Linked DNA regions of Canis lupus familiaris. The protein of the gene in region 1 interacts with the protein of each later gene in a biochemical or structural test. Links are inferred from orthologs where the notes say so. Each region holds a gene or a part of one and is shown in the gene's direction. Other genes may lie near its edges. The genes, in order: PTPN11, FRS2, PECAM1, INSR, TXNIP, SIRPA and CAV1.

Evidence for each region.
Region 2: the proteins of PTPN11 (region 1) and FRS2 interact in a test that uses a peptide from one of them, tested with the Homo sapiens proteins (2 studies listed by BioGRID, with this or other methods). The link is inferred for Canis lupus familiaris from reciprocal best matches to the Homo sapiens genes PTPN11 and FRS2.
Region 3: the proteins of PTPN11 (region 1) and PECAM1 form a complex in vitro, tested with the Homo sapiens proteins (4 studies listed by BioGRID, with this or other methods). The link is inferred for Canis lupus familiaris from reciprocal best matches to the Homo sapiens genes PTPN11 and PECAM1.
Region 4: the proteins of PTPN11 (region 1) and INSR form a complex in vitro, tested with the Homo sapiens proteins (2 studies listed by BioGRID). The link is inferred for Canis lupus familiaris from reciprocal best matches to the Homo sapiens genes PTPN11 and INSR.
Region 5: the proteins of PTPN11 (region 1) and TXNIP are reported together in a solved structure, tested with the Homo sapiens proteins (2 studies listed by BioGRID, with this or other methods). The link is inferred for Canis lupus familiaris from reciprocal best matches to the Homo sapiens genes PTPN11 and TXNIP.
Region 6: the proteins of PTPN11 (region 1) and SIRPA form a complex in vitro, tested with the Homo sapiens proteins (2 studies listed by BioGRID). The link is inferred for Canis lupus familiaris from reciprocal best matches to the Homo sapiens genes PTPN11 and SIRPA.
Region 7: the proteins of PTPN11 (region 1) and CAV1 form a complex in vitro, tested with the Homo sapiens proteins (2 studies listed by BioGRID). The link is inferred for Canis lupus familiaris from reciprocal best matches to the Homo sapiens genes PTPN11 and CAV1.

The regions. Positions count from the first base shown.
Region 1 is NC_049247.1:10,377,042-10,380,601, forward strand, and holds part of PTPN11 (tyrosine-protein phosphatase non-receptor type 11), read left to right. Parts: intron 1-259; coding exon 260-327; intron 328-837; coding exon 838-989; intron 990-3,560. UniProt on the Homo sapiens protein: Acts downstream of various receptor and cytoplasmic protein tyrosine kinases to participate in the signal transduction from the cell surface to the nucleus. Positively regulates MAPK signal transduction pathway. Dephosphorylates GAB1, ARHGAP35 and EGFR.
Region 2 is NC_049231.1:11,804,761-11,808,890, forward strand, and holds the start of FRS2 (fibroblast growth factor receptor substrate 2), read left to right. Parts: upstream 1-1,291; 5' UTR 1,292-1,440; intron 1,441-4,130. UniProt on the Homo sapiens protein: Adapter protein that links activated FGR and NGF receptors to downstream signaling pathways.
Region 3 is NC_049230.1:14,719,085-14,722,644, forward strand, and holds part of PECAM1 (platelet endothelial cell adhesion molecule), read left to right. Parts: coding exon 1-264; intron 265-2,311; coding exon 2,312-2,587; intron 2,588-3,560. UniProt on the Homo sapiens protein: Cell adhesion molecule which is required for leukocyte transendothelial migration (TEM) under most inflammatory conditions.
Region 4 is NC_049241.1:52,466,243-52,469,802, reverse strand, and holds part of INSR (insulin receptor), read left to right. Parts: intron 1-723; coding exon 724-938; intron 939-1,883; coding exon 1,884-2,010; intron 2,011-3,560. UniProt on the Homo sapiens protein: Receptor tyrosine kinase which mediates the pleiotropic actions of insulin.
Region 5 is NC_049238.1:59,433,998-59,438,022, reverse strand, and holds the start of TXNIP (thioredoxin-interacting protein), read left to right. Parts: upstream 1-1,216; 5' UTR 1,217-1,505; coding exon 1,506-1,755; intron 1,756-2,266; coding exon 2,267-2,339; intron 2,340-2,449; coding exon 2,450-2,597; intron 2,598-2,816; coding exon 2,817-2,919; intron 2,920-3,052; coding exon 3,053-3,309; intron 3,310-3,401; coding exon 3,402-3,558; intron 3,559-3,666; coding exon 3,667-3,818; intron 3,819-3,959; coding exon 3,960-3,995; 3' UTR 3,996-4,025. UniProt on the Homo sapiens protein: May act as an oxidative stress mediator by inhibiting thioredoxin activity or by limiting its bioavailability.
Region 6 is NC_049245.1:19,586,155-19,590,268, reverse strand, and holds the start of SIRPA (tyrosine-protein phosphatase non-receptor type substrate 1), read left to right. Parts: upstream 1-1,287; 5' UTR 1,288-1,342; intron 1,343-1,773; exon of another isoform or gene 1,774-1,811; intron 1,812-2,369; 5' UTR 2,370-2,378; coding exon 2,379-2,457; intron 2,458-4,114. UniProt on the Homo sapiens protein: Immunoglobulin-like cell surface receptor for CD47. Acts as docking protein and induces translocation of PTPN6, PTPN11 and other binding partners from the cytosol to the plasma membrane.
Region 7 is NC_049235.1:55,589,281-55,593,348, forward strand, and holds the start of CAV1 (caveolin-1), read left to right. Parts: upstream 1-1,247; coding exon 1,248-1,277; intron 1,278-2,534; coding exon 2,535-2,699; intron 2,700-4,068. UniProt on the Homo sapiens protein: May act as a scaffolding protein within caveolar membranes. Forms a stable heterooligomeric complex with CAV2 that targets to lipid rafts and drives caveolae formation. Mediates the recruitment of CAVIN proteins (CAVIN1/2/3/4) to the caveolae.

The DNA.
Region 1 (3,560 bases):
TCTGCATTTCACAGATGAGGAAACTGAAGGTCAAAGAGGTATGGGATTTGCCTTGGGAAGTCCTAGAGAAGCTGGGCTCCACGTGTGGATTGGACTAACCCCAAAGCCCTTAGCTAATCTATTCTCAAATACAAACAGGCAGTCTTATAAATACTCTCAAGAGCAGACATTGTTTCTGTTCATATTAATAGTGTGGGTTTGAGTCCAAAACCCCTATGAATGGCTCCAGCGTCATTGCTCTTTGTCCTTCTGTCCACAGTGCTGGGATTGGCCGGACAGGGACGTTCATTGTGATTGATATCCTTATTGACATCATCAGAGAGAAAGGTGGGTCATCTGGAGGGCAAGAAGTTGTAAGTTCTTTTTTAGTTTATGGAAGGAAAGTGCTAGTGAAAATAGCCTGGAGGAGAGAATTTGAATGTTAAAACATTTTTAAAAATCTGGGCTGAAGACTTTGACTTTCAGTTGTTTATAGGAGAACAAAAGTGATTCTATTTGAGCCTTTGACATAAAATGAAGCCCAGGAGCCGTGGTCCCGCTGCTGTGGTCTTTTGTTGAATATGCAGTGGTGGTCTCTGGGGTGGTGCTGATGGAGAGTCCTGACCTCCGATACTTAATCAGATCATTTTCTGGAATCATTTGTATTAGTCAGAAGGCAGTGTAGCCCTTGAAACATGTTCAGTTAGAACATTAAAGACTACATTTAAAAAAAAATTAAAAAAAAAAAAAAAAAAGACTACATTTACTATATCTCTGAGTCTGCTAAAAGTTGTGCATTAAACCACTTCATCCTGGCCCCACAGTTTCTCCTAATGCTTCATGGTGCTTGCTTTGCAGGTGTTGACTGCGACATTGATGTTCCCAAAACCATTCAGATGGTGCGGTCTCAGAGGTCAGGGATGGTCCAGACAGAAGCACAGTACCGATTCATTTATATGGCTGTCCAGCATTACATTGAAACACTACAGCGCAGGATTGAGGAAGAGCAGGTACCAATCCTGGAGGGGGCTGGTGTGCATATTTGTACTTTCTTTTCTGGGCAGCTCTGATACACTCTGCTTTTGAGCAGGATGGGCCTCTAAGAGATAGCTGTTACTGTTCAGGAATGAGAAACTCATTCCCAACCAGGAAGGGCCTCTCTGGAAACTATTCCCCACTTCACAACTCTGGTATTTCAGCAGAGGGTAGCTTGGAGATAGCTGCTATCATCCTGGCCTGGCAGATTGGGGAACTGCCACGTGGAAAGGTTAGGATTTTCCCAGACAACATCCCAGGATTCTCACATGGCAAGTTTGGAAATGAAAGCCTTGAAGTTTCCAGCCTGTTCCTGTTTAGATCCAGGCCATCTTTATCCTGATCCCATCTCTTAAACAAATGCTTCACTCTTCATAGCACATAGCAGTTTGAACCATAAACTTGGTTGAGTTGGAAACAGTGAAATTTCAATTTTAATAAGCCATGCATAATGAAGAAGAATGTGGAGTTGGAGCATTTCCATTTGAAGCTATTCATAACAGACACAAAGCTGAGTTAATTAAGAATACGCTGAGATGAGGGAAATGAGGAGACTGCTCCTTTGGGGATCTGGGCATCTCCCCCCCACCCCCCCACCCCCAACTGCTCTGCTGCAGACAGGGGAATGTCTAAACAGCAGTGATATCTGCCTACTTTACCCTGTGTATTGCCTTCCAGAGAACCCGGCTTCTCAGAATGGCACCTGCCAGCGAATTGAGAGACTTCTAGCCTAGCAGAATAGCAGCCACATTATCAAAAGCTTCATTAGCCAAAGTAAGATATCTGTCAGCTTAGTAGGTTCTCAGTTCACATAAAAAGACTAGATTATGGGGTGCCTGGGTGGCTCAGTCGGTTAAGTGTCTGACTCTCGATTTCAGCCCAGGTCATGATCTCAGGGTTGTGAGATTGAGCCTGGCACTGGGCTCCGTGTTCAGTGCAGAGTCTCCCTCTGCTCCTCTCTCTGCTCGTTTGCATTCTCTCTCTCAAATAAATAAGATCTTAAAATCCAAAACACTAGGGGCAGCCTGTGTAGCTCAGCGGTTTAGTGCCGCCTTCAGCCTGGGGCATGATCCTGGAGACCCAGGATCGAGTTCTGCGTCGGACTCCCTGCATGGAGCCTGCTTCTCCCTCTGCCTGTCCTCTCTCTCTCTATGTCTCTCATGAATGAATAAATACAATCTTTAATAAAAAATTCAAAACACTAGATTGTTTTCGTTGTACAAAAACATCTTCAGCAACGGTGTACGTATAGAAATATAAGGTCAAATAATCAACATGGTACCAGTTTTGACCTTCAGTGCTTTAAATCTGATTTGGTGTTATCGTAATTGTTACAAAATATTTAGATGGTTGCTATAGGCTATTTTCTATTTGTCTTCCAATTATACTGAATTTGGGCCAGGAATAAAACATGAAGTTGCCCATATAGAAAGACCTCCTAATAAATACAAAGAGAATGTAGCACACTATTGGTACAAATTCAGGAATATCTTGAAGCATATAATCTTGTTTGGAAAAGCTAGGGGAAAAGCTCTCTTTATTTCATTCAGAAGTTTTGGTATTTATCCTTGTTTTGGCAACTTTAGTAGGGACTTCCCCAGCCTTACAGCACTTGAGATCTTCTGAATTACCGTATATAGTCTCTCTGACCCTAAATCTCAAGATGTAATTTGGATTTAAGAACTCCTTTAAAGATAGCTTTATCGGGCAGCCCTGGTGGCGCAGCGGTTTAGCGCCGCCTGCAGCCCAGGGTGTGATCCTGGAGACCGTGGATCGAGTCCCACGTCGGGCTCTCTGCATGGAGCCTGCTTCTCCCTCTGCCTGTCTCTCTCTCTCTCTCTCTCTCTCTCTCTGTGTCTCTATGAATAAATCAGTAAAATCTTTTTTTTTTTTTAAAGATTTACTTATTTATTCATTCAGAGAGAGCTACCCTAAATCAGTAAAATCTTAAAAAAAAAAGCTTTATCACCCCAGGGTCAGGAGGGGGTAGAAAAAAGCAGAACATATTCCTTGATAATTTAAGTCTTATAGAATATCGAAACTGGATGTCACTGATAATCCTATTTGAAGAGTGCTTCAAATGAATGCATGCATTCATTCGTTCAGCCAGTACTTTTTGGTGCCAATATGTGCCAATATTGTCCTTATTAGCACATTAACTGCTCTTTGGGATCTGAGCCTTCAGAGTTTAAAAAGATGGGTTGGGGGATCCCTGGGTGGTGCAGCGGTTTGGCACCTGCCTTTGGCCCAGGGCGCTATCCTGGAGACCCGGGATCGAGTCCCCCATCGGGCTCCCGGTGCATGGAGCCTGCTTCTCCCTCTGCCTGTGTCTCTGCCTCTCTCTCTCTCTCTCTCTCTCTGTGACTATCATAAATTAAAAAAAAAAAAAAAAAAAAAGATGGGTTGGCTTATTCATTTTTAAAAATGAGATCCTATAACGTGTAGTTCCATTTAATTCCATGTATGAACTTACTACCTGATTTTGTGGTAGAATTAAGAAGTACCTTCTTCTGGTAGAAAGCTTAAGTGGTAGCCTTAAGAACTAG
Region 2 (4,130 bases), on another chromosome or scaffold:
GACTTCTATCCAGTCCTACTTGGTACGGGGTACGCTCAAGCGTTTATCATTGTCATCTTGAATTCTTACGACAATCTAGAGGTGATTACACACCTATGCATATATATGCACACCCACACGCAAATGAGGAAACCCGGGCTTCAAGAAGTCAAGCAACTTGCTCCAGGTGAAAAAGTGAAAAGTCCATAGCAGGATGCAGGCAAGAAGATTCCAGAGTCTCCCGGCTCTTGGCTTCTGTTCAAATTCCAAGTGATGCTGAAATATAGGAACATAACCTGCCCTCTGCCCTTAAGCAAAGCGCTTCAAACTCTTGTTAGGAGTAGATGTAAAGGGACGCCTGGGTGGCTCAGTGGTTGAGCGTCTGCCTTTGGCTCAGGGCGTGATCCTGGAGACCTGGGATCGAGTCCCACATTGGGCTCCCTGCAGGGAGCTTGCTCCCTCTGCCTCTGTCTCTGCCTCTCTGTGTCTCTCATGACTAAATCAATAAAATCTTAAAAAAAAAAAAAAAAAGGAGTAGATGTAAAGATTCAATACGCACAACACAAGGTAAAATCGAGAGCCACTGTTTGTGGTATTGGGTTTGGTATCTTTGATCGGAGGAGGAAGGTACAGATAATGCAAGGTACAGATGATAACCAGCACCTCCCAGGGTTCGGGGACGATGCACGGGGTTAGGCACCTGCAGCGCATGACACGTAGTAAGCATCTAGCAGGGAGTTAACTATCATCATTTGGAAAGGACTGGAGAGGGACACCTGGTGGCTCAGCGGTTGAGCCTCTGCCCTTGGCTCAGGGCGTGACCCCGGGGTTTCAGGATCGAGTCCCGCGTCGGGCTCCCTGCATGGAGCCTGCTTCTCCCTCTGCCTGTGTCTCTGCGTCTCTCCCTCTGCGTGTCTCTCATGAATAAATAAATAAAATCTTAAAAAAAAAAAAAAAGGAAAGGAGTCTGGAGGCCGGCTGTGTAAGTGTGCACGCCCGACCCCCGCACCCAAATGCTCCCATCCTCGGCCTCGTGGCGCGTGAAAATAGGCGGCTGCAGCGGACCAAGTGCGAAGCGCAGTGAGGGGCGCAGGCGCCTCCCGGGGCTTCCGAGGGGCCTCGGCGTCGGAAAGGGTGAGCGACCAGCCTGGGGGCGGGCTTAGCGCGCTCGGCCCCGCCCCCGCCCCCGCCCGCAAGCCCCGCCCCGCCCCCCGCAGGCCCCGCCCCCGCAGGCCCCGCCCCCGCCCCGCCCGGGAGGCGCTGGCAGCTCAGCGCGGGAGCAGTTCCGGTGCCAAGACTCGTCCCTCCCCCGCTTCCCCGGAAGTGCTTCTCCCAGGCTCGGGCCGGAGAGAGGCCTTGCAGGCACAGCTGCCGAGCCTCGGTCGGCTCCGAGCAGGGGCTGGAGCCCGGGGTCCGCGGCCGCCCACCCGCTCCCGCCTCCTGCCAGCGCCCGGGCCGGCGGTGAGTGGCCGGGGGGGCGCCCCGGGACGGCGGCGGGGCGCGGCGGGGCTGGGCTGTCGGGCTCCGGGGAGGGGGCTCGTCGGCCGCCGGCGCCCCGGGCGAGTGCGGGGGGCGGGCGGGGCGGGGCCGGGGCGCGGGGTCCCGGGACCTGAGAGCGGGGCCGGGCCGGGCCTCGGCGCCCCGGGTCTCGGCGCCGCCTCCCGGGCGCGCTCTCCGCCGCCGGCCCTGGGCTCGGCCTCGGGCTGCAGGTCCCGACGTTGGTGCCCTCGGGGGCGGCAGCCGGGGGTCCTCCGCGGCGCTGCTCGTCCACACGCGCCGGGGGAGCGCCTCGGGACGGCGCCCCGGGGGCACCGGGTGTGCGGGGCCCGCAGCGCGCCTGCCCCGCTCCCCGCTCCCCGCTCCCCGGAGAGCCTGCTCGGGCGGCCGCTGCAAGGCGTTGAGGAAGACAGCTTGCCGGAGGGATATCAGTACTTAACTTCCCTTATTTTCTCCCACACTTAAAAAAAAAAAAAAGGAAAGAAAAAAGGAAAAAAAAGGGGGGGGAAAGGGAAGCTGTTCTCTAATCGGCGCTCCTGATTGTTGTGGCCACCCCGGAGTCACAGTGGGATGACGGCTTCAGCTTGCGGTTATTGCACGAATTGACGGCCGGAGGTTGGAGAATCACTGTGCCCCCTCTTCCCTGAAGTTTGTATATCTTCATATATGTCTTTTTATTATTTTTTTAAGATTTTATTTATTTATTCATGAGACACACACACACACACACAGAGGCAGAGACCCAGGCAGTGGGAGCAGCAGGCTCCACGCAGGGAGCCCGACGTGGGGCTGGATCCCTGGTCCCCGGGGTCACGCCCTGGGCCGCAGGCAGGTGCTCACCCGCTGAGCCACCGGGCTGCCCTATACCTTCGTATTTTTGGACCTGTCATTTTCCTTAACTTTCAAAGACTGTTTTCTTTCTTTCTTTTTTTTTTCTCAGTGGCTCCTTAGAGGTTCCAGTTGTGCTGCAATGCAGAGGTTGTCACAGGTGGATAGAGGTGGTGTGTGTGTGTGTGTGTGTGTGTGTGTGTGTTAAGCTGCATTTTGAGCTTTACCTCGGATAAATTGAGAATTTCCTAGAGGAGAAAACGATGCAGTAGGTAGGTAGTGTTTTTTAGTGGACTTAGTTCTTAGCTACTAGACTGTGTGTGGGGGGGGGCAGGGGGGAGGTTTGTATGCAACGAGGCTTTTCTGCATTTAATAGTGATTTTTCAATGATGATGGCAAGAGAATGCAAATGCATTCACTGAGGGTTGTGACCGGCTGCAGATGACCATTGCATTTTTTTTTATTTTTATTTTTTGCAATGTAAAGTGCACACAAACCGTTTATTGTGAAGCCAGTGACCCTTTTCCTGTGCTTCTCACCTTGTGCTTATATTAAGATGTATACTGTAGTTTTTTTAGGTACTTATCTCATTCTCTCTCCTCCCACTGCTGAAAGGGGAGGTAATATCCTGCATTAGGGAAAAATAGACTGAAGTGGTGAGTTCAGTGAGCTCTCTTCCTGTGCAAAAGAAAAGTTATTTCAGTGTTGTTGATTTTTCAGCAGGCAAAGGGTGGCTGACTTTTTAGAAATTCTTGTTTCTTTTATTCCTTTATTGATTGTGGTCAAAGGGTGGTTGATTTTTACAGTCCCTGGTGGGGGGAAAAGTTAAATTAGATTTAGACATTGTGGATTCTTAGCCATTTGCAATGCTTGATTGTTTAGAGCTTACGGTTGGAATATTGGAATTGAGAAAACCTGCAAAAGGAGTCAAGTTAGATATGATCATGGATCCATAGTGCAAGTAGGATAGTATGATAGGTTTTTTGATAGTATGATAGGTGTTTTGAAGGAGAAATATTTAAAGAATTGTAAGAGCAGAAAAAGGCAGTTGGGGAATTTCAGGTGCCCTTAGGCTCTGTAAATTTCATTAGGTTCAGGTCCATTCGATAGATGTTGAATATTTGCATTGTAAATTTTATTGTATTATTGAAGTCAATGAGTACTGAATTTTTGCTATGTTAGGCATCAAGCTCTGTTAGGCAACCGCGTAGGAATGAATATACAGCCGTAACCATTAAAATTCATGTTTTGGCAATAATTTTCTAAGGTGTGTCAGAAATCATGAAGAGGTGAATTGTATTGCTTGGGCATATTAAAATTTTTTTTCTAATTAGAGGTGGGTGTTGTGTGTTTTATGAAAAGTACTGTTAGGCATTATAGGATACAAAGATGAAGCATTTGGTCTTTAGGAATTTGAAATCTAGAAGTCCTGAGATGTAAGATATTTACATAAAAGTATGTAAATACTGTGTGAGTGGGATGACCTAAAGTTTGGAGTTCTATGAAAAGAAAATGGGTTCATTTTTAACTGGAGTAAGCAGCTAAAAAGTAGAAAGTGGTGGAGATAAAAGAGCACTCTGAAGCTGTTGAGCACTTGGCATCACGCTTCATGCTGGTCACACTACGTACATTTTCTAAGCTTCACAACGACATAAAAGCATCTTAATAAATAATGAGGGCAATGCTTAAGTATGTTAGGTAGCTGAGCCTCAGTTTGAATCCAGGTCTGCCTGGTGTCAAAGCCTGTGCATTTCCACTCCATCATGCTACTTCTCAATAAACTGGTAGCCTGAGTTTAACATTGCAGAGGGTGAGACTTTTCTGAC
Region 3 (3,560 bases), on another chromosome or scaffold:
TAGAAGGCGGGGTCGTGAAGGTCAATTGTTCTGTCCCAGAGGAAAAGCCCCCGATACATTTCACAATTGAAAAACTCAAACTAGATACGAAAGGTTTCAAGCAAAAAAGAGAAAAAACTTCTCCCAACCGGAATTTCATGATGCTGGAGTTCACAGTGGAGGAACAGGACCACGTTATATTTTTCCAGTGCCAAGCCAGGATCATTTCTGGGACCCACATGGAGACCTCTAGAGCCATCAAGAGTGAACTGGTCACCGTGACGGGTTAGAGTCCTACTCTCCTTTTTATCACTCTTTCTGCCTTGCTGGTTTGGGATGGGGAGAAAGACCCCAGAAATCAGGAAGGGGGGTGGGGCCTTCTGGCTGGGCTTCTGTTTTCAAGACTGTTCTTAACCACTTCAAGGCTATGTTTATAGTTTAAAATATATGTGTGTATATGTGTGTTTGTGTGTACATGTAAAATTTCCCAAACAAAAGTTTCTCAAATAATACTTAATATATGAGGCATTTTGCCATTTTCTATTCGTTTGTATTTCAGTTTTTTAAAACACTGGCCATGACTCCGTGAAATGATGCATTGTGTAACCTGCAGCTTGGAAATCATGGCTTTAAGCCAACAACCCCCAAGCCTGGGTCAGACACCAGGAGGTGGAGTCTGGAGGGGATAGGGAGGGAAGGGAGTTCAGGTCCTCCGCCTTTGCCTCCCACATTTGATAAAAGACTCCCCTCTTCTACCCACCCCTTATCACCAAGATGTTGGACAAATAAGAAATAAATGAGGTGGCCTGAGGAGTGCTCTGGAGTGAGAAAGACAATAGCAGAGGGAAGCCTGGGACTGTGTATCCAGGATCAAGAGAGCTCCAGGACAGGCAACCCGCAGAATGGGACAAGGACTCGTGAGCCGAGAAGAGTCAAGGGAAGGCACACTCTAGTGCAGATAGCCTCAAGTCTTTTCTATAGGAGCCTCAAAGTTTGTCATAAATACCCTTCTGCTTTTGGTACCTATTTTCACCTCTGCCCATTGTGTGTGTGTGTGTGTGTGTATATATATATATACACACACACACATATATACAGGTATGAAATTATGTATATGTAATATTTTTCTGATTATAATACATGGTGTGGGTTCAGTTTTCAGAAAATATGGCACAATGTAAAGGATAAAGTGACAATCATTCATAGTACCACTGCTCAGAGAAAATCACTTGTAGGTCCCAGACTGGTTCTGCTTATACATTCATGCACGCACACAATTTTTGTTTGTTTTTCTTTGTTTTTACAAAAAACACAACCTGACCAACATACTGTTTTATAACTTTTCTTTAACTTATCAATATGTTACAAACTTTTGTCTGTATCAAGGAATACAGATGTAGGTCTTTTTTTTTCGTGGTACCTCAGAATCCTATTATAGGTATGTACCATAATTTACTAGTACCATTATTTTTCCAGTGGTAAACATTTGGGTATTTTCCTAATTTTTTGCTATTAAAACAACCCTGGAATACACACACTTACACTTATCATTTGTACTTTTGCAAATATTTTATTTCATTATTATTTATGACATTGATTTCTGGTAGTCAAGTTGTTGATTCAAATGTTTGTGCATTTTAAATATTGATATGTATTACCAAAGCACTCCTCAGATTGGTTGAACATGTCCATCAAAAGTGATGCTAGTGTTTATTTTCCCACAACCTTGCTCTCAGAGTATTATCTACTTTCATTATTTTTTTGTCAATCTAATTGAGGCACAGTGATATATTGTTGTTCTTGTGATTTGTATTTCTTTGGCTTTTACTGAGGTCGAGTATGTTCTCTGTGTTGATTGACCAATTACTACATTTCCCCCCATAAACTGCCTGCTCGTATGCACTTGGCCCATTTTTACTGTTTCTGATTGATTTGTTTGAGTCCTTTATAAATTAAAGGCATTAACTCTTTGTTGAGTACTGTGCAAATATTTGCCCAAGTTTGTCATTTGTCATTTGTCTTTATTTTATAAGCTTTTCAAGCAGAAGTGTTTCATCTCTGTATAATCAAACCTATCCATCTTTTTCCTTTTGGCATCTCAGTTTCGTGATTCACACCTGAAACTTATTAAAGAGTAAGATGGGAGGGAGCATTAGAGCAACTTAAGAGAAGGTTTTTGAGAGGAAAGTTTCAATTTTTTTTAATTAATAAGGAAGGACAGTAATTGGCAAAAAAAAAAAAAAAGATTAAAAAAAAGGGGGGAGGACATAAGTGCCTCTTCCTCTTGTCCAGATTTGAGCCTGAGTCCAACCAGTTTATCCTCTTCTTGTAGAATCCTTCTCTAATCCCAAATTCCACGTCAGCCCCGAAGGAGTGATCACAGAAGGAGATCAGCTCTACATTAGGTGCACCATTCAAGTGACACATCTGGTCCAAGCATTTCCAGAAATCATAATCCAGAAGGACAAGGCAATTGTAGCACACAAGAGGCATGGTAACGAAGCCACCTACTCAGTGATGGCCATGGCGGAGCACAATGGCAATTACACATGCAAAGTGGAAGCCAGCCGGATATCCAAGGTCAGCAGCATCGTGGTCAACATAACAGGTAGGGCTGCTGCTGGAGGGTGTGGGAATATGATGGGCTTAAGCAGTCACCATGCTGGAATCCAGAATGGCCAGTGAGGGCTGATAGTTCTGTTCCTGCTTGTCTGAATGATGTACTCAAATGGGGTTGTGGTGCTCAAGTGAAAAAGTCAATGCTGAGCCAGTAAGCAGTTAAATGTGGTGGTTGAGTGTGCAAGTTCTGGCATCAAATCCCAATACTGTCACTCATTACTAGGTGACTTACTGAGCTTCTCTGTGGCACAGATCTATGAGATGGGGATAATGACAGCAGTCACCTATAGGACTGTTACAATGACTAAGTGATGTGGCTCTGCTATAAAGAGCCTTATACGGGGATCTCTGGGTGGCGCAGCGGTTTGGCGCCTGCCTTTGGCCCAGGGCGTGATCCTGGAGACCCAGGATCAAATCCCACATCGGGCTTCCGGTGCATGGAGCCTGCTTCTCCCTCTGCCTGTGTCTCTGCCTGTGTCTCTGCCTCTCTCTCTCTCTGTGTGTGACTATCATAAATAAATAAAGATTTAAAAAAAAAAAATAAAGAGCCTCATACGGAAGAAGCACTCTGTGAATGTTAGTTAACATGTCTATTATTATACCACATTTATCTTTCCTATGTGCCAAGCACTAGCCTAGATCCCAGACATAGGTCCTAAGATAGGGTCAGGAGTGAGAAAGCATTAATAAATGAAAAAACAATAGTAACAATTCCCTTTTGTTGAACACTATATGACTGGATTATATACATTTTCATTTCATGCTTATAACAATGCTATGAGATAGGTGTCATGATTCTGCATTTATGGATGTGGAAATTAAGGCTGAGGTGTTAGGTCACTCACCCAGAAATTACAGGATTACCAGATGGTAGAACAAAAGTTATCCTCAGGTCCATTCGACTTCCAAACCCATGCACTTAATAGTTCAATTGGACTCTTTCCTCCCTTTCCTGGTTTTAC
Region 4 (3,560 bases), on another chromosome or scaffold:
ATCTGTATAGTAGAGGAAGTCAGAGAAGAGGGGACTATGAGTGGCATTTGAGAAGCCACTGCACTGAACTGTTTAGACCACCTTCTTGAATCGTTCACCAGCTCATGCTGATTTTTCTGCCATAAAATGGCCTTGTTTGCTGAGGTCTAGACCTTTCATTTGGATTGTGCTTATGACCCCCTACATAGGTGTCCTAGAACTAGACCAGTACCATCCACTAGAGATATGGTACAAGTCAGGGGTGCCTGGGTGGCTCAGTCTGTTGAGAGTCTGACTCTTGATCTCAGCTCAGGTCTTGATCTCAGGGTTGTGAGTTCAAGCCCTGCATTGGACTCCATACTGAGCACAGAGCCTGCTTAAAAAAAAAAAAAATCAGTGAGTACTAATCAATTCAGACATGAATAGATGCTAAATGGTGAAAATTTGATGAGTAACAGGATATTTACAGAGTCTCAAAGTACCTCCCCATAAGATTAAAAAAAAAAAGAAAGAAATGTGACACAAGTCACACGTGTGACTTTAAACGATCCAGTGGCCACATTTTAAAGTCTTCAAAACGAATCAGGGAAGTGAATTTTAATAATGCATTTTACTGAAACTGTTCCATCTGAGATGTTATTTTGACGTGGACTCAAACTAGGAAAGTGAAAGAGGAGGATTCTTACATTTTTTCTCTGCCTGTGACAAGCCAGGGAATGACAAGGTTTGTGTGTGTTCCCGTAGGAACTACTCTTTCTATGCCTTGGACAACCAGAACCTAAGGCAGCTATGGGACTGGAGCAAACACAACCTCACCATCACTCAGGGGAAACTCTTCTTCCACTATAATCCCAAACTCTGCTTGTCTGAGATCCACAAGATGGAGGAAGTCTCAGGAACCAAGGGGCGCCAGGAGAGGAACGACATTGCCCTGAAGACCAACGGGGACCAGGCGTCTTGTAAGTGGTGATGTCCTGGTCCTTCCAGCCCGAGGACCAGATAAGGCGGCTGTCTTTCTCCTTGAGCACTGCATTGGCCCTCAGCGGGGGTGGGGTGGGGTGGAGTTGGTGGCAGGTGTCATTGCCCCCCCAAGCTAAAGCAGCTCAGAGTTCTATTTCTGCAATGCCAAGGACAGGTCTATCATATCTCTGTGATTTCAGAGAGACAGTGCCTGATTTTGGAAGATGTCACATCTGCATTGAATGAATGAATGAATGAATGCATGCATGCATGAATGAATGGATTTCTCCTTATAGGTGACCTTGGCTCTAGTGCTCCAGCAGGTCCTGCAGCTGCTGCATAGCTGGAGGCTACCAGCTGACTTCACTCCTCTGACAGGTTCTCTCTCGAGGAAATATCAGAGCAGAAAGGTGCCAAGGCTTCCAAGAGCTGGGTCTTTGCCGCAGATTTGTGGGAATTCAGGAGAGGGAGAGAGAGCAAGGTTGGGGTGTAGCTTGGGGGGGGCTTGCATCCCACTCTTTCTAAGGCATCGTCTCTCCAAGGCCTGCGTGCTCTCTAAACTCACTTGGCCCATATTCAGTTTGCACTGGAGTCATATATTCTGACAAGGAAGGCTTGAAAGTCCACGTGTGTGAGAAAATTGTGCCAGGACAGTCGTCACTCTTGAAAAATCACTTTTCCCAATAATTATCGGCCAGTTGTCCTTCTCAGTTCGGTGCTGACCACTGTTCCTGTGTTGAGCATCTGGCTGCGTGGGGACCAACTTGTGTGACCAGTTCTTGCCTCCGAACACCAGGAGGAGGCTTGTGGGGGTGAGACCCATCCGGGGAGCAGCAGACTGACACCTCCCTTCTCCCAGATGCTCTTGGAAATGTTGGGTCACCTGTTGGGGCCTGAAACAAGTTTTTAATGCTGATGTCATTAATGTTTTTAAACTTTTCTAGGTGAAAACGAACTACTTAAATTTTCTTACATTCGGACGTCTTATGACAAGATCTTGCTGAAATGGGAGCCCTACTGGCCCCCTGACTTCCGAGACCTCCTGGGGTTCATGCTCTTCTACAAAGAGGCGTAAGTAAAGGGTATAGACGTGTGTGGGTTGTGTGTGTTCAGAGGTTCCCCTCTGAGGTGCCTCTCTCTCTCTCTTCCTTGTGGAATAGCGATTACAGGATCCCTTTTATCATCTCACAAGCTGATGGCATGTGAAGTTAGTAACATCCTCATTTGTCAAAACCAGAAATTGAAACAGGTTTCTTTTGGCCAAGTTCCTACGGCAATATTCCATTTTGCCTCATATACGTACACCTCAACAAGACGTCCGTAACAAAATTTGCTCAGTTCGCTGAGTGGGTCTTTAAAAATTTATTTTTGGGGATCCCTGGGTGGCGCAGCGGTTTGGCGCCTGCCTTTGGCCCAGGGCGCGATCCTGGAGACCCGGGATCGAATCCCGCATCGGGCTCCCGTTGCATGGAGCCTGCTTCTCCCTCTGCCTGTGTGTCCGCCTCTCTCTCTCTCTCTCTCTCTCTGTGACTATCATAAATAAATTAAAAAATTTTTTTTAAATAATAAAAAATAAAAATTTATTTTTGTATCCATTTTCTATTTTTTCCAACCTTTAAAGAATTTATTTTCATTTTTATTATTTTTATTTTATTATTATTTTTTTATTGGAGTTCAATTTGCCAACATAGAGCATAACACCCAGTGCTCATCCCGCCAAGTGCCCCCCCCAGTGCCCGTCACCCAGTCACCCCAACCCCCTGCCCACCTCCCCTTCCACCATCCCTTGTTCGTTTCCCAGAGTTAGGAGTCTCTCATGTTTTGTCACCCTCACTGATATTTTCACTCATTTTCTCTCCTTTCCCCTTTATTCCCGTTCACTATTTTTTATATTCCCCAAATGAATGAATCCATATAATGTTTGTCCTTCTCTGATTGACTTATTTCACTCAGCATAATACCCTCCAGTTCCATTCATGTCGAAGCAAATCCAACCTTTAATTGTGGCAAAACATATCTAATGTAAAATTGACCATTTGAACCATGCTTATGTGTCCTGCTCAGTTGCATGAAGTACATTTGCCGTGTTGTGCAAACATCACCAGCATCCATCTCTAGAACTTTCTCATCTTCTCAAACTAAAACTGTCTCCATTAAACTTGGTCATTTTGGGGCACCTTGGTGGCTCAGTGGTTGAGCATCTGCCTTCGGCTCAGGGCATGATCCTGGGGTCCTGGGATCGAATCTTGCATCGGGCTCCCCACAGGGAGCCTGCTTCTCTCTCTGCCTATGTCTCTGCCTCTCTCTCTGCGTCACTCGTGAATAAATAAATAAAATCTTAAAAAAAAAACCCACAAAAATACAAAAAGCAAAACTTGTTCATTTTGAGTACAATTGAGCCTTGAACAATGCAGAAGTTAGGGGCACTGACCACCGCCCAAGTCAAAAATCCACATATAACTTTTGATTCCCCTAAAACTTAGCTACTAATAACCTGCCATTGGCTGGAAGCCTCACCGATCACATAAACCGTTGATTGATATGTATTTTGTATATTATATGTATTATAGACTTATTCTTACAATAAAGTCAGCTAGTAGTAGTAAAAGGAAAATGTTCTT
Region 5 (4,025 bases), on another chromosome or scaffold:
GAGTGATCAGTCAGGGTCTCTTTTAGCTTGAATACAGTGATCCTTTTGTCTTCTTTCCTCACTGGGATTTCTAAAATAAAGGGCTTAGAAAAACACTTTTAAAAGATACGGAAACTCTTCCTTCAAACAGGAATGCAGCCATCTCTTTACTGACACTTTGATCATATAAACAAGAGAACTTTTAACTCGGCTGTGAGGAGTGTGGGCTACGGATTTAGAGATGCGCCTCTGATTTGGTGAGTTGCAGAGGGGATGAAGACAAGGAAGAGTGCAAGCAGCTGAGGAGGAAAGTGAAACGAGGGAAGCATCTTGTTTCAAGTACATACCTTACTAAAAGAGTAATATATTGGTAACTGGGGGAATAGAAACAAAGTGTTCCCCCAACTTTGCAGGTAGAAACTGAAGAGATGAGGGGGAAAGGAACAGGATGTGAACACGCCCTGATTCCGTTCCAGGGAGAACAGAGCGAACGGAGAGAGAGGGTACAGGGGCTTCCAGGTTCGGGGGCGCCGGAAAGGGAGCGCGAAAGCCGAGCAGCGCCCCGGACCGCTGCCCACCCACGACGGAGAAGAGCTTTACAATTTGTGACAAGTTCCCCTTTCTGTCACGGTATTTAGGGGTTTGGATAGAGACCCGGGGGCAAGAGAAAGACAAAGGGGCTCTTCCTCAACAGTCACACCAAAGCTCCCTGGCCTCTGCCCCAATTCTGAAGTATTCTTGGAGTTAAGGGATTATTTTTCACCGGACTTGCGACTTGTGAGCCGGAAATAAACGGTCGCCTCTAAATTTATTGCACTGGCTGAGGTTAGGCACGAAATTCCCACATAAGCACATTTTCTTTTCGCTTCAAACGCTGCTCCCACCCCAGAAGCATCTGCACCCGCCCCCCGACGGCCACCCCCCGTGATAAATGCTAGGGTCCGCGAGGGCCCGCTCCCTCCGGGCTTCCCCTGGGCGTCCTCGGGCGGAGGGAGGCGGCCCCGCAGCCCCTCCGCTCCCTCCTCCCGGCGAGGCTGCCGTGCACAACAACCATTTTCCCCGCCAGGAGCACACCGTGTCCACGCGCCGCTGCGGCCTCGCTGATTGGTTGGGCTCCTGGTAAACAAGGGGCGGGCAGCCAATGGGAGGGCTGTGCACGAGGGCAGCACGAGCCTCAGGGCTAGCGCTCGCGTGGCCGGGCGAGCCCGGGCGACTATATAAAGCAGTTTCCGGCTGCTCCCCGCAACTCTCCTTCCGTCTCCTCTGGCGGGGTGGGCCGTTCGGGCTCTCCTAGAGTCGGGGCGCTCCTCCAGCTGTCGGAGAAAAGAACAGAAAGCTGATTTTTTTTTTTTTTCCCCCGGGGATCCTTCGGCATCACCCACAGCTTACATTTTTTTCCAAAATCTTTTTGAAATCTTAGCGGAGAGTTGAAGAGTGAAATAATTTTTTTGCAGAGCATTTTTGGATTTGGAGTTTTGTTTTTTCTCTCCCCCCCGTTTATAACTGTCAAGGCAGCCCAGCCAATCATGGTGATGTTCAAGAAAATCAAGTCTTTTGAGGTGGTCTTTAACGACCCTGAAAAGGTGTATGGCAGCGGGGAGAAAGTGGCCGGCCGGGTGGTCGTGGAGGTGTGCGAAGTGACTCGAGTTAAAGCTGTCAGGATCCTGGCTTGCGGAGTGGCCAAAGTCCTGTGGATGCAGGGATCCCAACAGTGCAAACAGACCTCTGAATACCTGCGCTTCGAAGACACGCTTCTCCTGGAAGACCAGCCAACAGGTGAGTGGCCCCGTTGTTTGTCGGGAGGGTGAAAGCTGATTTGAGAATAGAGTTGAAACGAATGCTTGCAGCTTATGCTGAATATTTCAAGCTGCTAAGGTTGAGTAGCTTGACTTGTATGTTGTTTCCTTTTTTAGTTTTAACTTGCAGACTCCTAAAAAAAGGGGGGGGGTGATTTGTACAGTTTCTTACAGTGTTCTGTTCTGAAGGTGATCCTGAGGTATGCTGCCTTAACTATTTAAAGGTTTTCTGTGTGCATAAGTTGCATATTCTTCGCTCGTTTCCGGTTTGAGAGGGTAGTAGCTTCACTGCCCTGGTTGAGCCTTTCATCATTGCAAGGCTTTGAAACTTTTTGCCCAACGAAATGCATCAGGATCTCTCAAGAACAGAAGGGGGTGAAAATAGGGGACCTGCAATAGACTTGCATGCTGCCCAGGAATTCCTTATCACACAGATGCATTTGAAGTGAAACAAGAAACCTGATGGGCTATTCTTTCTTCTTTCTTCTCAGGTGAGAATGAGATGGTGATCATGAGACCTGGAAACAAATACGAGTACAAGTTCGGCTTTGAGCTTCCTCAGGGGTAGGTGTCTACTAAATGCATCTTTGGACTTTCTTATCTCTAAAATTCGCCACCTTTGATCACCTGTTCTTGGAGAACAGTTTTAGATTGCTTCTTTTTTCTTGACACAGGCCTTTGGGAACATCTTTCAAAGGAAAATATGGGTGTGTAGACTACTGGGTGAAGGCTTTTCTTGATCGCCCCAGCCAGCCAACTCAAGAGACAAAGAAATTCTTTGAAGTGATGGATTTAGTGGATGTCAACACTCCTGATTTAATGGTGAGGTTCATTTAAAAATTATGTTTTCTTGGGTTTCGGGGATGGTAAGTCGTAAGTCAAGTGTCTTAGGCATTAGACTGATGTACCTCAGGGGATCCAGTCCTAAATGGATTACCAAGGTGGGAGGGAAAGTTGCCTATTCTAGGTAAGGAGTAGAAAGAAAAAAGAGAAGGATCTCTAGAAAGTCTCAAAATGTCTTTTTACCCCTATTTAACACAGGCTCCTGTGTCTGCTAAAAAGGAGAAGAAAGTTTCCTGCATGTTTATTCCTGATGGACAAGTGTCTGTCTCTGCCCGAATTGACAGAAAAGGATTTTGTGAAGGTAAAAACTTAATTAAAAAGGTAGTCTGATAAAACAGGAACTGTGGGTTTGGGAGTGAGGGCAGGCTATAGGGGTAGAAGTCCTTAATTGTATTAAGCGTCAGCTAATAAGTTTTTGTCTTTATCATTGTTAGGTGATGAAATTTCCATCCATGCTGACTTTGAAAATACATGTTCGCGCATCATGGTTCCCAAAGCTGCCATAGTAGCACGCCACACTTACCTTGCCAATGGTCAAACCAAAGTGCTGACACAGAAGTTGTCATCTGTCAGAGGCAATCACATCATTTCAGGAACCTGTGCATCGTGGCGTGGCAAGAGCCTTCGGGTGCAAAAGATCAGGCCTTCTATCCTGGGCTGCAACATCCTTCGAGTTGAATACTCCTTATTGGTGAGTGAATGGAGTCCAAGAAATTGTTCATCTGTCAAAATAGTCATTTCTCCAAACCTCTAGTCTAACTAACTGTCATTTTTCCTTTCTAGATCTATGTTAGTGTTCCTGGCTCCAAGAAGGTCATCCTTGATCTGCCCCTGGTAATCGGTAGCAGATCAGGTCTGAGCAGTCGGACATCGAGCATGGCCAGTCGAACCAGCTCTGAAATGAGTTGGATAGATCTCAATATTCCCGATACCCCAGAAGGTGAGCCAGACCTAATGTTTTTTCTTCCTTTTTGACCTGCTTGGGTTTGTGAAATTGTGACGGTCAGGCATTTCTTGGCCAAACTTCTTATGCCTATGTTTTCTCTAGCTCCTCCTTGCTATATGGATATCATTCCTGAAGATCACCGATTGGAGAGCCCCACTACTCCTCTACTAGATGACACAGATGGTTCCCAAGACAGCCCTATTTTTATGTATGCTCCTGAGTTCAAGTTCATGCCACCACCGACTTACACAGAGGTGATCATTGCCATTTTACAAATTGTCCTCTAAGCCTCTTACAGGAAGTTGAATGGGAAGGACTGCTAAACTGGGTGGTTGTTTTAGTTCTTACCCAAACTAAAATAATCGTTTCTTTTGTTTCTCTTCCCCCCACTCCAGGTGGATCCCTCCATCCTCAACAACAATGTGCAGTGAACTTGTGGAAGAAAAGAAGCAGCTGTACTT
Region 6 (4,114 bases), on another chromosome or scaffold:
ATGGCAAGGCATTTCCTCAAGTCTGTACAATCAGAAGAGCAGGCTGGCAGGATTGCAACCCAGGGAGACTGCTTCATGCTCTCAACAGGTGTGCGCTGCCTCCCTGTCTTAGCACAACACCCTGTCCGGACACTGACAGGGAGTCTGGGGTGGGGGCGGGGGTGGAGTCACTTTGCAAAGTTCTGCAGCCTGGAAATCCCAGATTGATATCTTGTTGTTACTCCAGGCCTCGCTGTTTGGCCTTAGGCAAGTCCACTCCCTCTCTGGGCCTCAACTGCTTCTCTGTTGATAGGACTGGCTCTTTCTCCACCTCGCTTCATTCATATTCTCCTACAGGCCTTGTGAAGAAAATTGGTCATAGCTTATTTCCAAGCCCAGATCCCTCCAATGTGCAGAGGGTCCTGGACTCCTCTGATGCCTACCGTGTGGTATCCCTTTGCCAGGTGGCCAGGGCACCCCCAGTCCCTCTCACTGACCTGGGTGCTGTTGGGAACACAGCTTTCCCTCAAGGAAAAAGAGAGAGAGGGAGGTGGGGGTGAGGGGAAGAGAGAGAGAGAGAGAGAGAGAGAGGCGCTTCACCAGGAAGCTCTGTCCTGTCTCCAGGCCCCTTCCCCTGCTCTCCCTACCTCTCATTCCCCCACTCCTGCCCCCCATCATCTTCCGGGAGCCCAGGCCTTCAAGCCCCACCTCTCCCCCACACCCCGGCCTGGGCCTTCTGCACCCCCTGAATTGGCTCTGCCTGCCAGAGAGCCCGCTGCCCCTGGTTGGTCGGGACCCTGCCCCTCTGGCTTCTCGGCGGCCACAGCCCCCCTTGGCGTTCCCTCTCCTCCCTGCTTCCCTGCGCCTCTTTTCCAGGCGGTACTGAAGTCCTTCCTACACACACGCTATTTTTGTACCATCACTCTCTCCTTCCTCTCCCCTTCCCCCTACATTCACTTACTTCCTGCTTTTCCTTCACCTCGGCCCAGCTCTCAAAGAGCCGGGCCCCTGGAGCGCGCGCCTACCCCCCGAGGGGCGTCGGGCTTCGGGCCCAGGGGCAGGGGCAGTCCCCGAGCGGCCGAAGGCGGGCACCCCCGCCGCGTCCCCGGCCCCCTCCCTCCCGCGCCGCCTCCAGCCGCTCGCCGGCCGCCAGCGGGCGGGAAGCGGGGCCCCGCCGCGCGGCCCGGGTCCGGAGGCGAGGGGGAGGCCGGCCGCAACTTCCCCGGTCCACCTTAAGAGGACGATGTAGCCGGCTCGCGGCGCTGACCTTAGGAAAACAAGTTTGCGCAAAGTGGAGCGGGGCCCGGCCTCTGGGCAGCCCCCGCGGCGTTCGCCCTGCGTCCCAGCCCCCGCGGCGGCGCAGGTCCGGGCGGAACGGGGCGCCGCGACCGGGACCGGGACCGCGACCGGGACCGGGACCGGGACCGGGGCCCGGCAAGCGGGAGGGAGCGGCGCGGGCGCCCGAACTGGCACCGCGTTGCGGCCGGCGGCCCGTCCGGTCCCGGGCGCTCGCGGGGCGGCGGGCGGCGGGGATCGGGGCCCGGCGGGAGGGCTGGGGCCGACGCAGCCCCCCGCCCCCCTCCCCTCCCCTCCCCTCCCCGCTCCTCCCCTCCCCGCCCCTCCCCCGGGCGCGCGGCCGGCGGGCGACAGGGGGCCGACGGGCCCGAGCCCCGCAGCCTCCCCGGGCTGGCGGGAAGGAGGGAGGCGGGGAGGGAGGGCGGGCGCGCGGGAGGGGGCCGGGCTGCCGGGAGGGCGGGGGCAGCGGCCGGGACTGCGGGCCGGGAGCGAGCCCCGCCGAGCCGCCGGCGCCGCGAGGAGCCCGGGAGGGGCAGGTGGGCAGCGGCGGGGGCGGCGGGGGCGGCGGCGGGGCTCGGCGGGGCTCGGCGGGGCTCGGCGGCTGCCCCTCGCCCCTGCGCGGTCCTCCTCTCTCCCGCGCTGGGGCCGCGATCCGCGCGCCGCCTCGCGCGCTCCTCTCCCTCCCTCTCCCTCCCTCTCTCCCTCTCTCCCTCTCTCCCTCTCTCTCTCCCCCTCTCCCCACTTCCCCTCTCCCCCTCTCTCGCCTCTCGGCGCCTCTGGCTCTCCGCCTGGCTCCCTCGGGTCTGTTTCTCTCTCCCGCCGCCTCTCCCTGGCCGTCCCCGGCTTGATTCTCGCGCGCTCGGGGTCTCTCCCCCTCTCCGCCTCCCGATCTCCCGGGGTTGGGGGTTCCTCCGAAAACCGCGGCGGCGACGGCGGCTCCTAAGCCGCTCCAGGCGCCTGTTCCGGGGAGGTGGGGGGGAAGCCCGGCCGGGGGGAGGTGGGGGGAGAGGAGGGGGAGCCTTAGTCATTTCCCCGCTCCAGCCTGCGCCCGCCCGAGCGCGCACTCACCGCCGCTCTCCCTCCTCGCTCCGCAGCCGCGGCCCATGGAGCCCGCCGGCCCGGCCCCCGGCCGCCTCGGGCCGCTGCTCTGCCTCCTGTTCGCCGCGTCCTGCGCCTGGACAGGTAAGCACCCCTGCCCCCGCCGTTGCCGTTGCCAGACCGGGGACCCAGGCCTGCCGGAGCGCCTCTGGGAGCCACTGGGCTAATGTCCAGCGGTAGTAAGGGGAGACGTGTCTGTAACCGGGATTACAGAGGCAGAAACTGAGGCCCAGAGACGGCCAGCCACTTGCCCAAGGTCACACAGCCACGGGTAGGACCCACTCTCCGTGGACTTTGATCGCGGGGGCATCGTGCTGGGCACTGGGACATACCCAGATGAATTGGTCCACCCAGTCCCTGCCCAGTCTGATGGGGGAGGCAGGCTGTCAGCAGCTTTCAGAGCCAGGTGCCCCTGGCTTCTCCAGAAGCTCTTTCCCTGGACTTAATGCTCTTGACAGTCCGACTTCGGGGTCTGAGAGAAGGGGGTAGAGGCAAAGGTCCCCCAGGTACTACCTGGAAGGGGACAGAAGCAGCCTATTGCAATGAGGGAAGAGTGAGCTCTCCCTCTGGTGTGCAGAGTAACATAGTGTTGGTGTGTGTATGAGAGACAGAGAGGAAGGGAGGCCGCAGTAACTCTGGGTGAGCTGCTGTGATCAACAGATCCCGATGCGAAAGCGCTGGTGGATTGTCCCTGTGCTTGCCAAAGCCTCTTGCTGGATGGTCTGCTCCTGGCTGTTCTCTAGGCTCCCCCACTTCCTCCTGCCATCCCCCCCCCCCCCCCCCCCCCCCCCCCCCCCCCCCGGCTTCCAGGCAGCTCCCTGCAGTTCAGGTGCTCCATGGGGCTGTTACCTGTGGCTCTGAGCATGTCTTTTTGTTGGCTTACATCAAACACCTGGCTGTCTCCAGCAGGCGGGCTCTGAAGGCTACCGTGTGTGTGTTCGCCAAGGGGTGAGGTCACCATTCAGGAGTCCTGCATCTTAAAGGGGTTTTGCAAAACCATGGGTCTCCTGGGAGGGCACAGGCAGCAGAGTAATGGCTTTAAAGGAGTTAGGGTGGGGAGACGAATGGGGATCTTGTTTTTTGGCTACTTGAAGCTGTGTGGTAGGCAGAGGGGTCTGCATCACCATCCTTGAGGAGGGAGGTAAAGATGAGCTCAGTACCCACCTCCCGTCCACCCCCCCCCCTCGTGCCTTTTGCATTTGCCTAGAGACTGGTAACCATCTGATAGCAGTGAGGAAGGGAGAACTGGCAGAGTGGGTGGAGGGAGAAGTGGGGGTGGACAGCAGCTTCTCTCTGCCCTGCAGTCTCCCCAGAACCCCAGGAATCCGCGTAGGCATCCCCCCCACCCCACCCCACTCCACCCTGGGTCTTCCCGCGGCATGTTCCATGTTCGTTGGGTCCTGGCTGGTAGGAAGGAAGCACTGATACATTTCATGTCTGCCTGGTGAGTGGCATCTCCGATCTGCTCCTTCCTGCCCGAGCCAGCCATTTACACCCTGCAAAAGTCCCAGTTCCTGCCCCCACGTCCTGCCTGGCCTGGCCGGGAAATGCACAAGTGTCTCTCGCAAGTACTTAATTTTCCTGAAACAGGGAACTGGGCCCACATTAATTTCTAAATGTCTATTCTAGACCCTTCTCCAACCAGGACCCTGTGGTTCAGTTTCTGGCAAATGACCGGTGACACTGATTAACAAGTGTTCGGATGGGCAGCCTGCCTTTCCCGGGGTCCTGGCTGGGAACG
Region 7 (4,068 bases), on another chromosome or scaffold:
TTTATTAATGAGAGACACAGAGAGAGAGAAAAGCAGAGGCACAGGCAGAGGGAGAAGCAGGCTCCATGCAGGGAGCCTGATGCAGGGCTTGATCCTGGGTCTCCAGGGTCAGGCCCTGGGCTGAAGGCGGCGCTAAACCGCTGAGCCACCCGGGCCGCCCCTCTAGTTCTCCTTCTGATTGCATATGGAGCCACAGGCCAAAAGACAGTGAACTTCTTGACTTCTCCATAGCCCAGATGTAAAACTACTGCTTATTGTTCCATTCACCTTAGGCGTACGCTTTATAAAAAGATAGCAGCCGCACATTCAGGAATAGAGAAAACATTTGCAAATAACTGCTAACGATTTGTTAAACTTCAGATCGGTTCCTAGAAGAACCGGGTCTCCTCTAACGCACGGGCAAGTGCATTAGAAAAAAAAAAAAAATAGAAAAAAAAATTAGAAAAAGTGCAAAGAAAAAGTCCTCTATGACAAACTTGAAGCTCCCACTAAATATTCCTACAACTGTAAATATTTTTACGTCTTTTGGAAATGTGGCACAACGTGTGGGCATAAGTTTCCAGAAAGTTCCAGAAAGATGGGCGAAGCCTGCCATTCTCGTTTGCTTCAGAGGGTTGGGGGGCAGGGCAGGGGGGGCTTTCAGAAGCGGCGGGGAAACTGGAGTTCCGCGTGTCTGTGTGTCCTGTCCGGGGCCGCCAGGTGTGAGCCGGCGCGTCGCCACCTGCACCGCGCGCGCACGTGTGCTTGCTCGCCGTCGGGGGCGCATCGTGCCCAAAAGTCCTGCGCCCTTTTTCGTCCCTTTCCTCCCGGTGACAGTGGGGGAGAGCTGGGCGGGCGGGGATGGGGGCGGGGAGGCGGCTTCTCCGCGGGCAGATGCGCGGGGAGGAGCGCGGGGAGGAGCGCGACGCCCCGCGCCAACCCCGCGCCCCCGCAGGACGCCGCCGCGAGCCCCCCGGGGACGTGCGCCCCAGGTCTAGGCCACCCCCGCGGGGCGCTCCCCGCGCGCTCCCCGCCCCGCGCCGCCGAACCCCGGGGATGTGCCCGGACCCGGCGCGCAGGTCCCGGCCGGGCGCTCGCGGCAAGCCCCGGGCCCGCGGCCAGCAGGCTCCCTCCCAGCCGCCGCCCCCCGCCTGCGCCTCCCCGCCCCCCCCCCCCCCCCCCCTGCACAATACAAGATCTTCCTTCCTCGGTTCCCTTGAATAACAGCCCAGGGAAACCTCGGAGCCTTCACCCAGCCACCGGCCAGCATGTCTGGGGGCAAATACGTAGACTCCGAGGTAGGCTCGCGGGGTGCGCGCGGGGAGCCCCCGGGGCGCCCCCACCCCCACCCCACCCCCACCCCACCCCCCGCGGTCGGCCGCCGGGCGCTCCCCCGGCGCGGGCACCTCCGAGGAATGGGCCTGGGCGGGGAGCTGAAGAGGGGGCAGGAATGTCGTCCAGGCTGCTCTTCGGAAAGGGGGGCCGGCGGGCCCTAAACCAGAGGGAGGCTGAAAGTGGGGGCGGGGGGCGCCCCGGGGTCCCGAGATGGGGACCAGAGCACGCTCCTGGGTCGTGGGCGGGCCCGGGGCGCTGCTTTAGGTCGGGACCCGCACGGCCCAGCCCCTGCGCGCTGGGGGGCTGCGATCGGGGACGCGGGGTGCGCCGCCATCCCCCCGCGATCCGGGGGACCGTCCCCGCCGCTCCGCCAGGCGCCTGGACCGGCTGGCACCGCCCGAAGCCCTCGGGCCGCCTCAAGAACCCTTCCAGCATCGCGGCGCCCGGCGGGGTGTTTGCAGAGGGGGGACCTGCCCTCCCCTCCCCTCCCCTCCTGTCCCTGCCCGCCCTCCCCTCCCAGTGCCACCCCTCGTCCGCGCGGGGATCTCGCTCCCCAAACTCGCCCTCCGCCCCGCGCCCCGCCGGCGGCCTAGGAGGGACCTGCGGGAGGTCGGGGAGGTCGGGGGCGCCGGGCAGGTGCGAGGTCGCGGTTCGGGGCGGTCTGCAGGGGGGCGGGGGGCGCTGCTCCCGACACGGGCGCTTTCGGGACGCTGAGCCCCGCGGGGGCGGGGGGCGCGGAGAGTGCGGCGAGCCAGCAGGTGTCGGGGAGGTGCGGCAGAAAGGGGCAGAAAGGGGGCCCCTCCGGGGGGTCCCGGGGGCTCCAGCGGGCCCGAGGGAGACGCCGGAGAGCTTCTGGAGAGCAGGGTGGGGGAGGGGCGCCCCGCAGCCGGGGACGGGTCCCCGCGGTCGCTGGGGGGCGCGCGGGGCGGGCGCGGGCGGGGGCGGCGCGGGTGCGCGCTGACCCCTGGCGGCGGGCGGCGGAGGCCGGGGCTCCCCGCGGGCACCGAGGGGTGTGGTGTCCTCGCCTCCATCCTCTTAAGCGCCGGCGGCGCCCGAGCGGCCAGTTGGCGGGCGACCTCCAGGGCCGCCGCACCGCTCGTTTTCCTTTTTGACATTTCCTTTTTGACATTTCCTTTTTCTGGCATTGCCTTTTTTGACATTTTCTTCCCATCTCCGCCCCCCCCTCCCGCACCCCGCCGTCCCCCCCCCACCCCGCGCAGGGGCACCTCTACACCGTTCCCATCCGGGAGCAGGGCAACATCTACAAGCCCAACAACAAGGCCATGGCGGAGGAGATGAGCGAGAAGCAGGTGTACGACGCGCACACCAAGGAAATCGACCTGGTCAACCGCGACCCCAAGCATCTCAACGACGACGTGGTCAAGGTAGGGGAGGCGGCCCCGCCCGCCCCGGGGCGCTCCGAGCATCCTCCGCTACCTGGGCCCGCGCGCGCTGCCTCCTGCGCTTGAGGACGCGGGGCCCCGCAGTCCCCCCACCTTGCCCTCCCCCATCACCCCGCCGGCTAGTTCGGCTGGAATCTCGCTGACTGCCCTCCTCCTAGAACCCCACTTCTCCCCGGCCAACACACCTCCAGATCTCCGCGACAGGTTGGCCCGCGCTCCTTGGGCGAGTGAGGCGCTTGGCCCTGCGGGGCACCCTCTTGCCTGTTCCCAGGCTTAAACTCTAGCGAAGGGGGGCGCCCTATTGCACCTAGAATTAAAGCAAGTAAGGTCACTGTGTAAGTTCTTTGTGGCTCGATGATCTATGGGATACCGAGTGGGCAGGTTGTCCCAGCTCAAATCAGGGTAACCTCAAGTTATTTTCTTAACTATAATAAGGTGGGTAAAAATGCTTCAGATTGATATATTATATATCACATATATGGAGAGAGAGCATCTTAACTGGAGGGGGAAAAAGTGGTACTCGTGCACGACCAAGCTAATTTCCACAACCAAAAATAATGAGCGCCTCTGGATTTCTCCCATAGACACCCCTAGCTAGGTATATAAAGTCACTTCTTTAGTGACTGCCTGGGTCAGGCTTCCCCGAGTTAATGAGACACTCAGGCTGGAGTTCCTTTTTATATTTTCAGAATGTGTTTGGTGATTTTTTTAAAAAAAAATAATAAGGCATCTGAATGAGCTATTGGCCAAACTTAGATTTGAGTCAGTGATCAATTTTTGATTATCATTATATTATTCAACTTTGACCCTCTTAGCAAATTAAGTCAGGGAAATTTATTGTCCGAATCCATCTGGATTGGGAAATCATGGGCTTGAGCCATTCTTGGCAGAGGGTTTTCTTTGAGGAGTGGGGAGGGCCAAGGAAAATCCTGGCCTGGAAGATTATAGCGTGAAGACCCAGTTCTGCACAACTCCAGAACAGCCAATGGGGCAGATGAGCAATTTCCACCTACCCAGTCTCCTATCTGGGGCTGGGAAGAGCCATAGTTCAGAGACTATGCACATTTATGAATAATTTATTTCAAAAAGGGAAACAATTTAACCTGTAACGGGAAGGAAAATGTAACTGTCAGAATTGACTCTCTTGGCTTGCTGGTAGAGGAAAAAGGAAAATTGGAGCATTAGTAGGTTTTTCTACTAGCCAGATTATGAAATATTTAAAAGCAGCAGCAATAAAAAAAAAAAGTAGCTTATAAACTTGAAATTAGAATTGCTAAAAACGATTTACTAAAAGCGTCACCTTAAAGAGAGGGAAAGACATTTTTGCTTTTTCTCCTTCTCATGTAGCTTT